Linked DNA regions of Rattus norvegicus. The protein of the gene in region 2 interacts with the protein of the main gene of each other region in a biochemical or structural test. Links are inferred from orthologs where the notes say so. Each region holds a gene or a part of one and is shown on either strand. Other genes may lie near its edges.

The links. The genes of interacting proteins can lie anywhere in the genome.
Region 1: the proteins of Ube2d1 (region 2) and Rnf125 form a complex in vitro, tested with the Homo sapiens proteins (4 studies listed by BioGRID). The link is inferred for Rattus norvegicus from reciprocal best matches to the Homo sapiens genes UBE2D1 and RNF125.
Region 3: the proteins of Ube2d1 (region 2) and Siah1 form a complex in vitro, tested with the Homo sapiens proteins (3 studies listed by BioGRID). The link is inferred for Rattus norvegicus from reciprocal best matches to the Homo sapiens genes UBE2D1 and SIAH1.

The regions. Positions count from the first base shown.
Region 1 is NC_086036.1:12,538,781-12,542,980, forward strand, and holds part of Rnf125 (E3 ubiquitin-protein ligase RNF125), read left to right. Parts: intron 1-2,294; coding exon 2,295-2,451; intron 2,452-4,200. UniProt on the Homo sapiens protein: E3 ubiquitin-protein ligase that mediates ubiquitination and subsequent proteasomal degradation of target proteins, such as RIGI, MAVS/IPS1, IFIH1/MDA5, JAK1 and p53/TP53.
Region 2 is NC_086038.1:17,307,040-17,311,759, reverse strand, and holds the start of Ube2d1 (ubiquitin-conjugating enzyme E2 D1), read right to left. Parts: upstream 3,302-4,720; 5' UTR 3,205-3,301; coding exon 3,181-3,204; intron 1,881-3,180; exon of another isoform or gene 1,777-1,880; coding exon of another isoform or gene 1,774-1,776; intron 1-1,773.
Region 3 is NC_086037.1:36,572,451-36,576,650, forward strand, and holds the end of Siah1 (E3 ubiquitin-protein ligase SIAH1), read left to right. Parts: intron 1-1,411; 5' UTR 1,412-1,413; coding exon 1,414-2,262; 3' UTR 2,263-3,323; downstream 3,324-4,200. UniProt on the Homo sapiens protein: E3 ubiquitin-protein ligase that mediates ubiquitination and subsequent proteasomal degradation of target proteins.

The DNA.
Region 1 (4,200 bases), on a different chromosome or scaffold from region 2:
TTCCCAGTTCTTCTCCAGGTTCCCTTGTATGCTTACCACTGTTTTTTCCTGTTAGGAAAGGGGTTGTATTGTAGCTCAGGCTATCCTAAAACTTTCATATGTAGCCCAGGTTGGCTGAAATCCCAAGTACTAGGATTAGAGTGGTATATTGCCGTGCTGATTTAATTTTCCCCCTCTAATTTGACAAAGAATCTCCCCCTGTTTTTATCTCACTCCTCTGCTTCCTATGCCCCATTGGCTTTTGTTTATTTATTTGTTTGCTTTTTGAGGCTAAACTAGACTGAATCTAGCTATTTACCTCAGAGTGACCTTGATTTCCCTGCCTTCACCTCCCAAGTAAAGATTAGAGTCGTGCCACCATGCCCAGCATAAAACCTCAGGTCTTACTAGACTTCGTACTTCTGCAGTCTCATATCCAGCTTCCCATAGAGTGAGCTGTCATCTACCAGGACATAAGTCGTGTAAGCAGAGAATTCAGGTTGTAGCCATTGATAATTGTATTTGGAATGTTATTTTTTTTTTCTTTTAGTTGAATGTTTGAACCATTCGTAAAAATACTCTTAAAAAGGATATACTTTCAAGGTTTTACGTGTGTCTTAGGGTTTCTATTTCTGTAAAGAAACACCATGACCAAGGCAACTCTTAAAAAGAATAACATTTAATTGGGGCTGGCTTACTGGTTCTGAGGTTCAGTCCATTATCATCCCGGTGGGAACATGGCAGCATCCAGGCAGGCATGGGGCTGGAGGAGCTGAGAGTTCTACATCTTGTTCCAAAGGCAACAGGAGAAGACTGACCCTCCTGCATGAGTGAAGCTTCAAAACCCACCCCACAGTAATGCACTTCCTTTGATAAGGCCACACCTCCTAATAGTGCCACTTCCCATGGACCAAGCACATTCCAACTACCACAACTTGGTGGCCCATCCGTTTAATTCTAGCACTTAGGAGGCAGAATCAGGTAGATATCTGTGAGTTTGAAGCCGTCCTCATCGATGTTATATGTTTCAGGCAAACCAAGAGTACACAATGAGACCCTTTCTAAAAAGCAAACAAAGAAAACAAGAATACACCTTCAGCCAGGCTTACTACTGTAATCCCCAGTAGATCCCAGGGGGTAAAGATGTTAGTGGGAAAACTGAGTCTCCCTTTTCAGATTCATTCTCATTCTTTCTCTCTCTCTCTCTCTCTCTCTCTCTCTCTCTCTCTCTCTCTCTCTCTCTCTCTCTCTCCAGGGTTTCTCTTTGTAGCCCTGGCTGTCCTGGAACTCACTTTGTAGACCAGGCTGGTCTCGAGCTCACAGACATCTACCTGCCTCTCCCTCCTGAGTGCTCGGATTAAAGGCCACCACTGCCCAACTAGATAGATATACTTATTTTTATTGTATGAGCTCTGTTTGCCACCTGCTTGCCCAGTCCCTGTGGAGATCCTAAAACATCAGATCCTAGGAAATGGAGTTAGTGGTGGCTATGAACTACCATGTAGGTGCTGGGAATTGAAACTGGGTCTTCTGCAAGAACGGCCAGTGCTATTAACCACTGAGCCATCTCTCTACACACACAACCCCTTCAGGTTCTTAGTCTCACTCATAAAAGAATTTAGACATGGGGAGAAAGTCACGCCTTTTGAGTTAGGGTCTATGTTCGGCAAGCAGCCACGCAGCAGAAGCAGAGACAGAGAGGGCCCAGAACATCAGTGAGAGCTTGAAAGAGAAGACATTACATTTTTTCTGGGTAATTCAGAGAAATGCCGACTTCCTAAGCAGCTACTCCCAGGTGGGGTTTCTGAGAGGGAAGCTACATTAAAAGTCTATCACCACAGTGATGGGACAATTATCCCACCCATCTTTTTATCTGGCTTGAGGAAATCAGACTGTCTGAGGTGATTGACAGGCCCAACTGGATTGATTAACGTTTTGGGTCTCCACACAGGGCCACAGGTAGAACTTAGAGTCTGTCTTTTTACCTGGGAGTGGTTGGATGGGCTGTAACCAAGCCCAGATACCTCGGCCTTCTTTTCTGAGAAGACTTGTGTGGTGCAGCCCTGGCTATGCTGGAACCTGTTATAAACCAGGCTGGCTTTGAACTCACAGATCTACCTGCCTTTGCTTTTGAGTGTTAGAATTAAAATGGTGGACTACCATGATTTTTTTTTAATTTTTAAATTATGTGTATGTGTGTATGTATGTATGTGTGTATGTGCCCGTATGAATAGAGGTATTCTTGTCCTCTAGAAGAACAGCATGAACTCAGGTGCTGAGCCGTATCTCTGATGTATTCTGTTTCTTTTGAGTAGGTTCTGCCGCTCTTGCATTGCAACCAGTATAAAGAACAATAATAAGTGGACATGCCCATACTGCCGCGCGTACCTTCCTTCAGAGGGAGTGCCCGCAACTGACATAGCCAAGAGGATGAAGTCAGAATACCAGAACTGTACTGAGTGTGGAACTCTGGTGAGTAACACAACCACGATTACAAGCAAAGGTTTCCAGTGAAATTACACCTTCTCCAGCTCTCCAGCTCCCCAGCTTTGGGGACAGGGTCTCATTCTGTAGCCCAGGGAGGACTTAAACTTGCTATCTCCAGATCCAGACTTGGAAGTGTCGGGGTTGCATGCAGGCCCCACCACGACGGCGCCTTTAGTATTTGTGTGTATACAGCACTGGAGGTTGAACCCAGGGCTTCCTACATGCTAGGTGCTATACCACCGAACCAGAGCCCCAGCCCTCATTTTTCTTTTGATTTTGAGACAGAGTCATTAAGTTCTCTGTGCTAGATATGAACCTATTCTGTAGCTCCACCAGCTTTTTAAACATCCTTTTTGAGACTTCAAACTCTTACTTCATTCATTTATTTTCCTATCACCATCCAGAGCTGGGAAAATAGCATTTTTAATGTGGAATTTTTTTAAAAAAGGAAAACGTACAAAAACCTGTGTGTGGGGGCTGGAGAGATGGCTCAGTGGTTAAGAGCACCCGACTGCTCTTCCAGAGGTCCTGAGTTCAATTCCCAGCAACCACATGGTGGCTCACAACCATCTCTGTAAAGAGATCCGATGCCCTCTTCTGGTGTATCTGAAGACAGCTACAGTGTACTCATATATAATAAATGAATAAATAAATCTTTAAAAAAAAAAAACCTGTGTGTGGTAAGTAGCTCTTGCCTTTAATCTCAGCATGCTGGAGGATCTGTTGCATGTTCAAGGCTAGCCCAGGATACATGGCAAGTTCCAGACCAGCCAGGGCTATGTAACAATACACTGTCACAGAACAACAAATACCCCAAACAAAAAGTCAGTCCCCAGCAGTCAAAGAGTGTGCCTACTCTCTCCCCTTGCCTCAGAGCCTGGAAACCAACTGGATATTGTCCCCCTTCCCCTGGCCCTTAAGGAGTTATTTCTGACTGAGGTAGCAGGAAGAAGATTATGGCTCTCAGCCCTCTCCTCCCCCCAGCCACACCAAGTGACTGATTAGATTTGGTTACCTGGACCTCCTCTTGCCCGGGTCCTTTTCTCCTGTTAGGCTCCTTTCAGTCTTTCCCAGTGAGCTGAATGGACCCCCTCCCTCTCTCCCTATGTCAGCCACCGCCATGGCCTTTGAGGCAAAGACACACAAGGAGCATAGAGCATCTTCTGTAACTTTGTACCCAACTCTTATCTACTAAGGCCTTTGTGCGTTTACAAATATTTATACATGTAGGAATAATCTATCATGGGCACCTGACCAGAATCTGTACATAATCTTTGGGGACAAGCATCCTGATATCCAACACTAATTCTCTCTCTTCCTGTTTCTGATTTGGCACAAGTTATTTATTTACTTTTAATTATTTATTGTGTGTGAAGGGGGCCACACATGGACAACCTTACCGTAGTTGTCTATCCAAAACGGCGTTCTCTCAGACCCTGGATGAAGTCCCCCGTCAGACTCTCTTCTCATATCTGATCTGTCACAGGATTGTAATTAATGTTTGAGGAACGCTGTGACAGTGTCTTGCTTTCTAGGCTACCCTTCTGTCCTGGAAGGCTGCCTGTTCCTGCAACGAGTTGAAGCTTGTCATATTTCACTGTCCAGGGCAGCAGCTCTCCTCTCCTTGCAGCCTCCTTGCAGCCTGGCCTTAGTATCCTGAGTTCCTCTCAGAGGAACTTCTTAGCTACCTGCCCTCACGTCTCTGTTCCTCTGTGGAATTATCCGCAGCATTAG
Region 2 (4,720 bases):
GTAACATTTATCATTTAAAAAGTGGTATTTTTTTTTCTTCAAAGCAAAGTGTACCGAGGACTGAAAAAACGGTGTTCACAGAAGAAACACCTAGAAAACAACTAACAATAGACACCCAACCAAAAGCTGCTCTCTTTTGTTGAATCCGTCGCAGGCTTCTTCCTTCAGATTTTGCTCAAACTTTATCCCTTCAGTGATTTAGACGACTGTAATAACATCTTTCTCCTGCATCTAAAAATAGGCCACGGGTGTGTAAATTTATGAGCTGAAATGCAGAACTGGCACAGGATGTCTAAATTAGAGCATTAAATCCTTTAGTCTACTCCAGCATGGGGATATATTTGAAGCGCCTCTGTCCGCACGCTTTGTAGAAAAACACAGTTTCAATTCAACAGCTTTGTTCTTTTCATAGGTGGAGAAATGAGAAGCTGCGAACATTATTCTCAAACGTGCCAAATCCTGTCTCAAGAGATTAAGCCTGAGCAAAACTCGTCTCAACTCCAGCCCCTGCTTCTGTCTTTGGACGAAGAGAACACAGGAGAACATCAGGGCTTTTGACCTTTCCATGTTAACCCCACCTCAGCTTCCAGGTCCAGCATCTTTCCACTGGCAGCCCTGGGCTCTACAGTGACTTTGCTCCCTGCCCTGGGGACTGTCTCTCTCCCTGTATTCTTTGCTACCCCACCGCCAAGCTGGGATTCCATGAACGTCAAGGGCTGATACTTTTAGGTAAAGAAATGGTGAAGTTATCACGTCATTGCTTTAAAAGATATTGAAGAAGAAAAAGAAGAAGAAGAAGAAGAAGAAGAAGAAGAAGAAGAAGAAGAAGAAGAAGAAGAAGAAGAAGAAGAAGAAGAAAAAGAAAAAGAAGAGGAGGAGGAAGAGGAGGAGGAGGGCGGTTAGAGGCTTGGGAGATGGCTCAGCAGTGAAGAACTACTCCTTCAGATGACCCAAGTTCAATTCCCAGCACCCACGTCAGACAGCTCACAACCACCTATGGCTCTGGCATCAGAATACCTGATGCTGTCTCTTACCTCTTCTAGCCTCTGTGGCCACCCCCACACATGTGGCATGTACTCACACATACACACACTAAAAACAAAAATTTTTTTAAGGCCAAAGGTTCGCATTGAACTCCATTTGTTGGACTGAACAAGATTCAAATGAGAATGGGAACACAGGATACCAGAGGGCATTGATGCAGCTCATGGGTGGCCTATTTGACCTGGACTTAGTTCTAAGCAAGATGACAGGCGAGAATGGCAGAGGACGGTAGAATCCGTTGGGGGCGAACGCGGTGGCTGGCATGTATGACTGATGATTCGTGGCAGTCAATGCGGGGAACATAGAATCATGTGACCTCCCATGTCTTCTCCACAATACCAGTTTGTCACAGATTTGCCATCAGTTGTATTTAAGGTTATCGTCATACTAGACAATTCTGTTTAACACCCAAAATCTTAAAAAAAAAAAAGAAAGAAAAAAGAAAAAAGAAAAAAGAAAAAGAAAAAGAAAAAAAAGAAAGGAAAAAAGGAAAAAGAAAGAAGGTGTGGACGTTTTCCATACTAAGTCAAATACATAAGTCAAGCTTAGCATGACCAATAAGACATACCAAGACTACACATCCAGTAATACATTCTTTCTCTGAATGGATATATTCTATAGATAATACCTATGACATCTAAGAGCTATTGTGTGTGCGCATGAGAGAGAGAGAGAGAGAGAGAGAGAGAGAGAGAGAGAGAGAGAACAAAGCCACATAGAATGCCTCACCATCACGAAAAGAAGCAAAGTTTGAAAACTTCCAAAGGGGAAACCAACAGAACATCGGCGATCAGAAGTCAGCAAGGCAATGACGGCTGCGGCTTCAAATTTAGGCTTGTTTATACGGTTAAAAATAAAGTGCAGCCACGTTATCTTCCAACGAGAAAACGTCATTATTTAATAAACGCTGATCTTACATTTTATACCAAGTTGACCTTCAGCGGTACAAAGAACAGCGACGATCTACACAGCTGATGTTCGAACCAAAAAAAGAACCCCAAAATCTGGCTGCGTGTAAAAGTTGCTGTCCTCTGTACCGAAAGATGCCTGCCGACTACCACTCTAACTCTAACTCAGAACATTTGCAGTCAAGTGTAGCTGGAAAGGTTGATAAAAACGTTTGGGGAGCCATCCATTTCTTGTGAAATCAATTACCAAACACATTATCCACTGCTTCCATTTGCTTCCAAAGCGTTCCCAAACACCCGGTTCCCAGCAGCAAGGGCTGCCGGCTGTAAAATGTTAAAAGACACTTGAGTCAGGGGACAGGCCAACAAGAGAAATGGGTGCGGTAAAGAATACAAAGAGAGGGTTGGGACAGATGCTAGGTGTTGACCCTTCGATTGTCTTCCTCATTCTCTAGTCATGCATCAAAGCATCCAAACAGTTTAATTTGTGGTCCTTAGTGTTGTGTCTTCAACTCTACATCTAAGTTTATCATGAGGATGTTTTAAAAAAAAAAAAAAAAAAAGCAACAAACAAAACCAACAACCAGCTTGGCTTGCCTCGCCTTGAATCACAGCCAGGAGGTCATCTTGCTGTGTATCAGCAACTATGTACTCGGTGCAGCTATGTGACCTGAAGTGGCAGCTGCGTGCAGAACCACCAAAATAGCAGGGGCAAGAGCTTTCTGCTGGCTCCTCCGCCCCAATCCCGCTTCCCCAACCCTTTCCTCCCACTGAGCACCATCCGACTGCAAAGCCCAGAAAGACCCAGCCCCACTCTCTGAGAATAAAGGCCGTAGGCCCACCACACCTTCCCTGTCCTCCCGGGGAGCCCGGGGTGCGAACACAGGAAGGAGGGCTCCGGGGACCTGGTAAGGACGCACGGCGTGATAGGGCACGCAGGCCGCCCGCTGCAGAGCAAGCCCCTGCCCAGCGGGGATGCACACACCCCGGGGCAATCTGGCCACCGCACCGGCACCCGCACCCGGGGTTCTAGGCTCAGCCTGGAAAGGACACGACCGGATCGGGTTGCCCCGGGTTCCAAGCACCCGGACCCTGCGCATGCACGCCTCACCTGTGCGGGCCGATCCGCACCCCGGCCTCCCTAGTGCCCGCGCCCCTCCCACGCCGTGCACCCCGAGCTCCTGGGGACCTCTCGGGGACACCCAGGCCGGTCCTAGCAGCCACTCACTTTCTGGATCCGCTTCAGCGCCATGGGGCAGGCGGCGGGGGCTGCGGCAGGTCCGCGTGTCCCGGGCTGCCGCCTCGCGGGGCTGCTCCGTGTGCGCCCGGGCGCGGTGCGCGAGTGTGCGGGCGGCGGCGCCGGGCTCTTTTGTTTCCGCCTTCGCTTGCTGGGAAGGAGCCTGCGCCCTCCCCGCCGCGCCCCGCCCGCCTGGCACACTGGGAAGTGTAGTTCCAGGCTCGGCCTCTGCCGCCCGCGCGGACGTCGTCTGGTCACCCGTGGGTGACAGCTGCGACCAGGCTGCTGCTTACTCCCTGCAGCCGCTCTGCAGAATAAGGGCCAGAATCTGCAAAAACCGGGACAGCAGGTGAGCTGTCGGCTCTTAGGAGCTGCTGTGAATCACGGGTCGCTCCTCCTCGCACAGACCCTGCAGCAGATCTTAACTTCCTTTTTAGATATTTCTGTTTCTTCTCCGCTCGCCCCCGGGAGCGTGAGGAGTCTTCGTCAATTGCACCCCACCTTATTTTTTTGAGGCAGGGTTTTCCCTTTATGTCTTTTTGTCTTCATCTCCCAAAAATGGAATTGCAGACAGCTTCCCACACAACCGACCCTTACGAGGTCTCCGGCATCCGAACTCGGGTCCTCAGGCTTGTGCAGCAAGCATTTTGCCCACTGAGGCGTCCTTCAGTCCCTTCTCAATTCCTGTGATCTCAGATTTTGCTTGTCCTTTCAACCATGTCTTCTTGGCTTGGCACCTGCAGGATGAGTTTTCGCTTTGCTCAGTCTCAGATTTCCGACGGCTTTGGTCAGTCTTAGGTTTCTGATGACTAAAGTCAATCCATTCCTTATCCGAAATGGTTTTGAGTCCCGTTTTGCTTCTCAAAACACTCACTGCCCCGGCTTCTACAGTGTCCCTGCAGCTAAATCAGCCACATCTGGGAAGTTCTCTTCTCCTGCTTTGCAGTGGTCCACAGAAGAACGACGCCACGCCCTCTGCACAAACTAGAGATGAGTTGCAGCCCAGAAAGGTCTGAGGGACTGTGCTTTGCAGAGGTCCACTCAAGCAGTCCTGCTCTGTCTGCACATCGGTCCACTTTCCTGTTCCCAGGTCCCCATCAGCTGTGGCAGGGGCCCTTTGCAGTCTTGCCTCTACTTAGCAGCGTTCTTCCGGGCGCTGTTTTTCTTACTCAGAACCAAGCCACTACCCCCACCCCCTGTGTGTGTGTGTGTGTGTGTGTGTGTGTGTGTGTGTGTGTGTGTGTGTTTGTGAAATTATTTCCCAGGAGCTGTACACCTTGTTTTTTGAGACAGGGTCACGCACAGGGACCTGAGCCTCACCCATTGGGCTGGCCTGGCGAGGAATCTGCTGTCTTTACCTGCTCGGCGTTGATTTTACACACAAGCCTCATCATCCGTACATTTGTTCATGGGCACTGGGGATGGAACTAGGGTCCTCATGCTTGCTGATCAGCACTTTATAGGCCGTGTCTTCCCACCCATTGTTGTTGTCGTTATTGTTTTATCTCCCCTCAAAAGAAGAGTGGCGTTA
Region 3 (4,200 bases), on a different chromosome or scaffold from region 2:
CAAAGTCCTGGGGAAAGTTGTTTATTGTGTGTGACCCTCACTAGCTGGTCCTTTCTCCAGACACTCAGAAGTCTTGTGGTTAGTTACAGTGAAAGCTGTAGCCACAAGAGGGAACCCACAGGTTCAGGGAGCTCTTTGTTCAGCCCCACCCAGCGTTTGATCTTCTGTGGTTTTCTCCACTTCTTATATTCCTTCAGTCTTCAGATGAACGCACTGACTGATGGGAGACAGAAGTGATACCTGGCTGCCTTAATAAAAGACTGAGTAGACGTCTGCAGGCAGATAACAGGATGGCAGGGTTTCCTTCCCCTGTGACCTCTGAGCCCATTCCCAGAGCACAGTTCTAGTGATGATGCTGTTCATGCTGGGAAGAGTTGACCCGGCTCTAATGGTCTTTGGCATATGAACTTCATAGGACTAAAGCAGTAGGTCCTGAAGCTATGAGCAAACTCAGACTTGAGAAAAAATAGATGGAGGTGGAGACTCGGGAAAAAAGTCCAGCCCAAATAAAGTTTATATTGTAATTTAAGGTTTTCTTCTTTTAAAAAAGATTTGTTTTTATTTTATGTGAATGGGTGCTTTGCCTGCATGTCTATCTGCTCATAATATGTTTGAGTGCCCTGGCTGCCTCTAATGAGCAGCCATTTGGGTGGTGGGATTTGAACACTGGTCCTCCGGAAGACCAACCAGTGTTTTTAACTGCTAGGCCATCTCTCCAGTCTCCAGCCCTGTATTTAATTTATATTCCTCCTCTTCCCCTCCTCTTCCTCCTCTTCCTCCTCTTCCTCATCCTTTCCTCCTCCTCCTTCCTCCTTCCTTTTTTTTCTTCTTCCTTCTTTCCTTTTCTTCTGCCTCCTAAATGTTGGGAGTTAAAGGCTTGTGCCATCTTGCCCAGCTGTATTTAAGTTCTTAAGACAAAGACAGTTTTGTAGTTCTTTATTGTTTAGGAACTTTTTTGAAATTAGGTCTTCATATGTAGTCCTGCTTGGCCTGAAACTATGTATGCAGACCAGGCTGACCTCGAACTCCCTGATCCCCACCTGTATGTGTGTCTGCAGTGCAAGGGTTAAAGGTGTGGCCACAATGCCTGGTGCGATTCTTATTCTGTGTAGTCCACCCAGAGATTTCCACTGCTTTAAGAACAAAAAAGTATTTTAAACATGCTGGAGAACATTTTGGAAATACAGTTTACTCATTATATAACTCCAGAAAATTAACCTTTAGCGTTCAATTTTTATTTTATTTGTATATGGATTTAAAACTATATTTACTTAATTTTATTCTTTTATTCACGATAAATTTTGTGGTATGCTTTACAAGTATTTATGACATGTATACATACATATCTACTAATGTGTTATATTTGTAACTTTCCCCCTGCTTCCTTTTATTTTCTTGTTTTCCTTTACAGAGATGAGCCGTCAGACTGCTACAGCATTACCCACCGGCACCTCAAAGTGTCCACCATCCCAGAGGGTACCTGCCTTGACTGGCACAACTGCATCCAACAATGACTTGGCGAGTCTTTTCGAGTGTCCTGTCTGCTTTGACTATGTATTGCCACCTATTCTTCAGTGTCAGAGTGGCCATCTTGTTTGTAGCAACTGTCGCCCCAAACTTACATGTTGTCCCACCTGCCGGGGCCCGTTGGGATCCATTCGCAACTTGGCTATGGAGAAAGTGGCCAACTCCGTACTCTTCCCTTGTAAATATGCCTCTTCTGGATGTGAGATAACTCTGCCGCACACCGAAAAGGCAGAGCACGAGGAGCTCTGTGAGTTCAGGCCTTACTCCTGCCCCTGCCCTGGTGCTTCCTGTAAGTGGCAAGGCTCCTTGGATGCTGTCATGCCCCACCTGATGCATCAGCACAAGTCCATTACCACCCTGCAAGGAGAAGATATAGTTTTCCTTGCTACAGACATTAACCTTCCTGGTGCTGTTGACTGGGTGATGATGCAGTCTTGTTTTGGCTTTCATTTCATGTTAGTCTTGGAGAAACAAGAAAAATACGATGGCCATCAGCAGTTCTTTGCGATTGTACAGCTGATAGGAACACGCAAGCAAGCTGAAAATTTTGCATATCGACTTGAGCTGAATGGTCATAGGCGGCGATTGACTTGGGAAGCCACCCCTCGGTCTATTCATGAGGGAATTGCAACAGCCATCATGAATAGTGACTGCCTAGTGTTTGACACCAGCATTGCACAGCTCTTTGCAGAAAATGGCAATTTAGGCATCAATGTAACTATTTCCATGTGTTGAAACGGCAATCAAATATTTCTGGCCAGTGTTTAAAATTTGCATTTGACTTCACAGAGAATAAGGCACCCATCTGCTTGCCAACCTAAACCTCTCCTGGTAGGTAGAAGCTAGACATGAAGGTAAATAAAAAGAAAAGCTGTTAATACAGGAAACAGTTGCATGTAGTAACACTAATATATTTAAAAATAATTCAACAGTAAACCACTGAAAAATATATATACCCAAGATGGGCATCTTTTGTATTAAGAAAGGAAACATTGTAAAATATTTCTGAACTTTGTGTTTGTTGTAGATTGATTGTATTGTTGACAATTTTTTGGGGGTGTGTGTCTGTGCACGCATGCGTGCACGTGTGTGGTTGGTTTTCCTTTAACTGACAAGCCATCTGCGTGGTCATGGGCCACCGCTTTCCCCTTGTGAGTCAACACACAGTGCTGCTGTGGGGTTGTTTTTTGTTTTGTTTTTTGTTTTGTTTTTTGGTGTGTGTGTATTTGCTAATTTTTATTCTAGTTTTTCATTAAATAAATTTGACTTTCTTTTCTGTAATTCAGGTTTTTCTCACTTTTGTACCTTTTAAGTTAGCGTCTTTTTGATATCCATAATTGCTTAATGTCAGAAGTTTGTGTTCAGTACATACTTTCTTTTCCTTCAATCAATTTATTAGACATTTTTAATTCAGCCCTTCTGTGGAAATAGGAATTCCAGAAAGGAAAGGGAGCAGAGCAGCTCGTCGAGGCTGAAGCAAGTACAGGATGGTCTCGCCTCCCGACTGCTGTCCTACGCCGTCAGGTCAGGCTTACTCTCTGAAAGGTTAGCTTAGGGAGTAAACTCTGATCACTATAAATTATAAAATAATCAGGCTTTTCCTCTCTTCAAATGTCTTGGGCAAATCACATGTTTAAATTGGTTCTTGTATTTATTGGTTTTGCAAAAGAGTGCATCATCATACACAGTATTTGTAATTAAAGTAAATCATTTGTTTTTAAAAAAAGGCAGTTTGCAAAAAAATGTTTTTGGTCTTTTATAATTCTCATTAAAAGATTATCTGGCAAATTAAAAAACATTTTAATGTGTTTACTTTAGCTCTAGGTTTTTGTTTTTGTTTTTTGTTTCCCTGGAGCTGAGGACTGAATGTAGGGCCTAGCACTTGGCAGATGCTCTACCCTGAGCTACACCCTCACCCTGTGGCCCTAAGATGGATAAACTCCAAAGGTAGTTTCCTGTTCCGGTCTGTATTTTAGAGCAGAGGATTGTATGCCACTGTTTGAAGTATGTTTTATTTTAAATCACAGAAAAGACTGGACAGCTCTCCCTCCCACTTTCATTCCATTAGGACATTGGGAATATGACTAATTAATGCTGATTATTCTTTTCCTTTGTGAAAAAAGGTGAGTTATTTTATCCTTTCCTAGCTCCAGTGGTGTGGTACTGACTCTGCAGTCTGATTTTCAAGTTTCTAGGCACCAGTTTACCTCCACCCAACTTAACCATCTGTCTGACCTTGGGCCCAGTCTCCTAATGTGTAGATGGAGTTAAGTCTGGTGAGTGTGTGTACGGTTAAATGAGGACCAAGTACTTAACCTGAAACACCGCCTCATAGGACATTAGCATCCAGTGTGGGGCCCTGGACTCTGTCTTTAGTGTCGTGTTCCTACATACATTCATGCGCACAGTACAAGTCTGGACATTGGTAATTTCATACTCCTGTCGGGTACCCGAAGCTTAGGAAGTCACTGAGAATTCACTCAGGTTTCTCTCTTATCCTAATTCCAATTCTGGATCGTGGAGTTTGGTTCTGTCGGCCATTTTCAATACAGGTAAGCCTTATATTGAATTGGTTGTCCTGTCCAAATGTTCTATTTGGGGTAAAAGGAATAGTTCAGCTACAGATTACAACCAGATTTTTACTTGTATGAATGTTTAGAAAAGCTGTGTGTG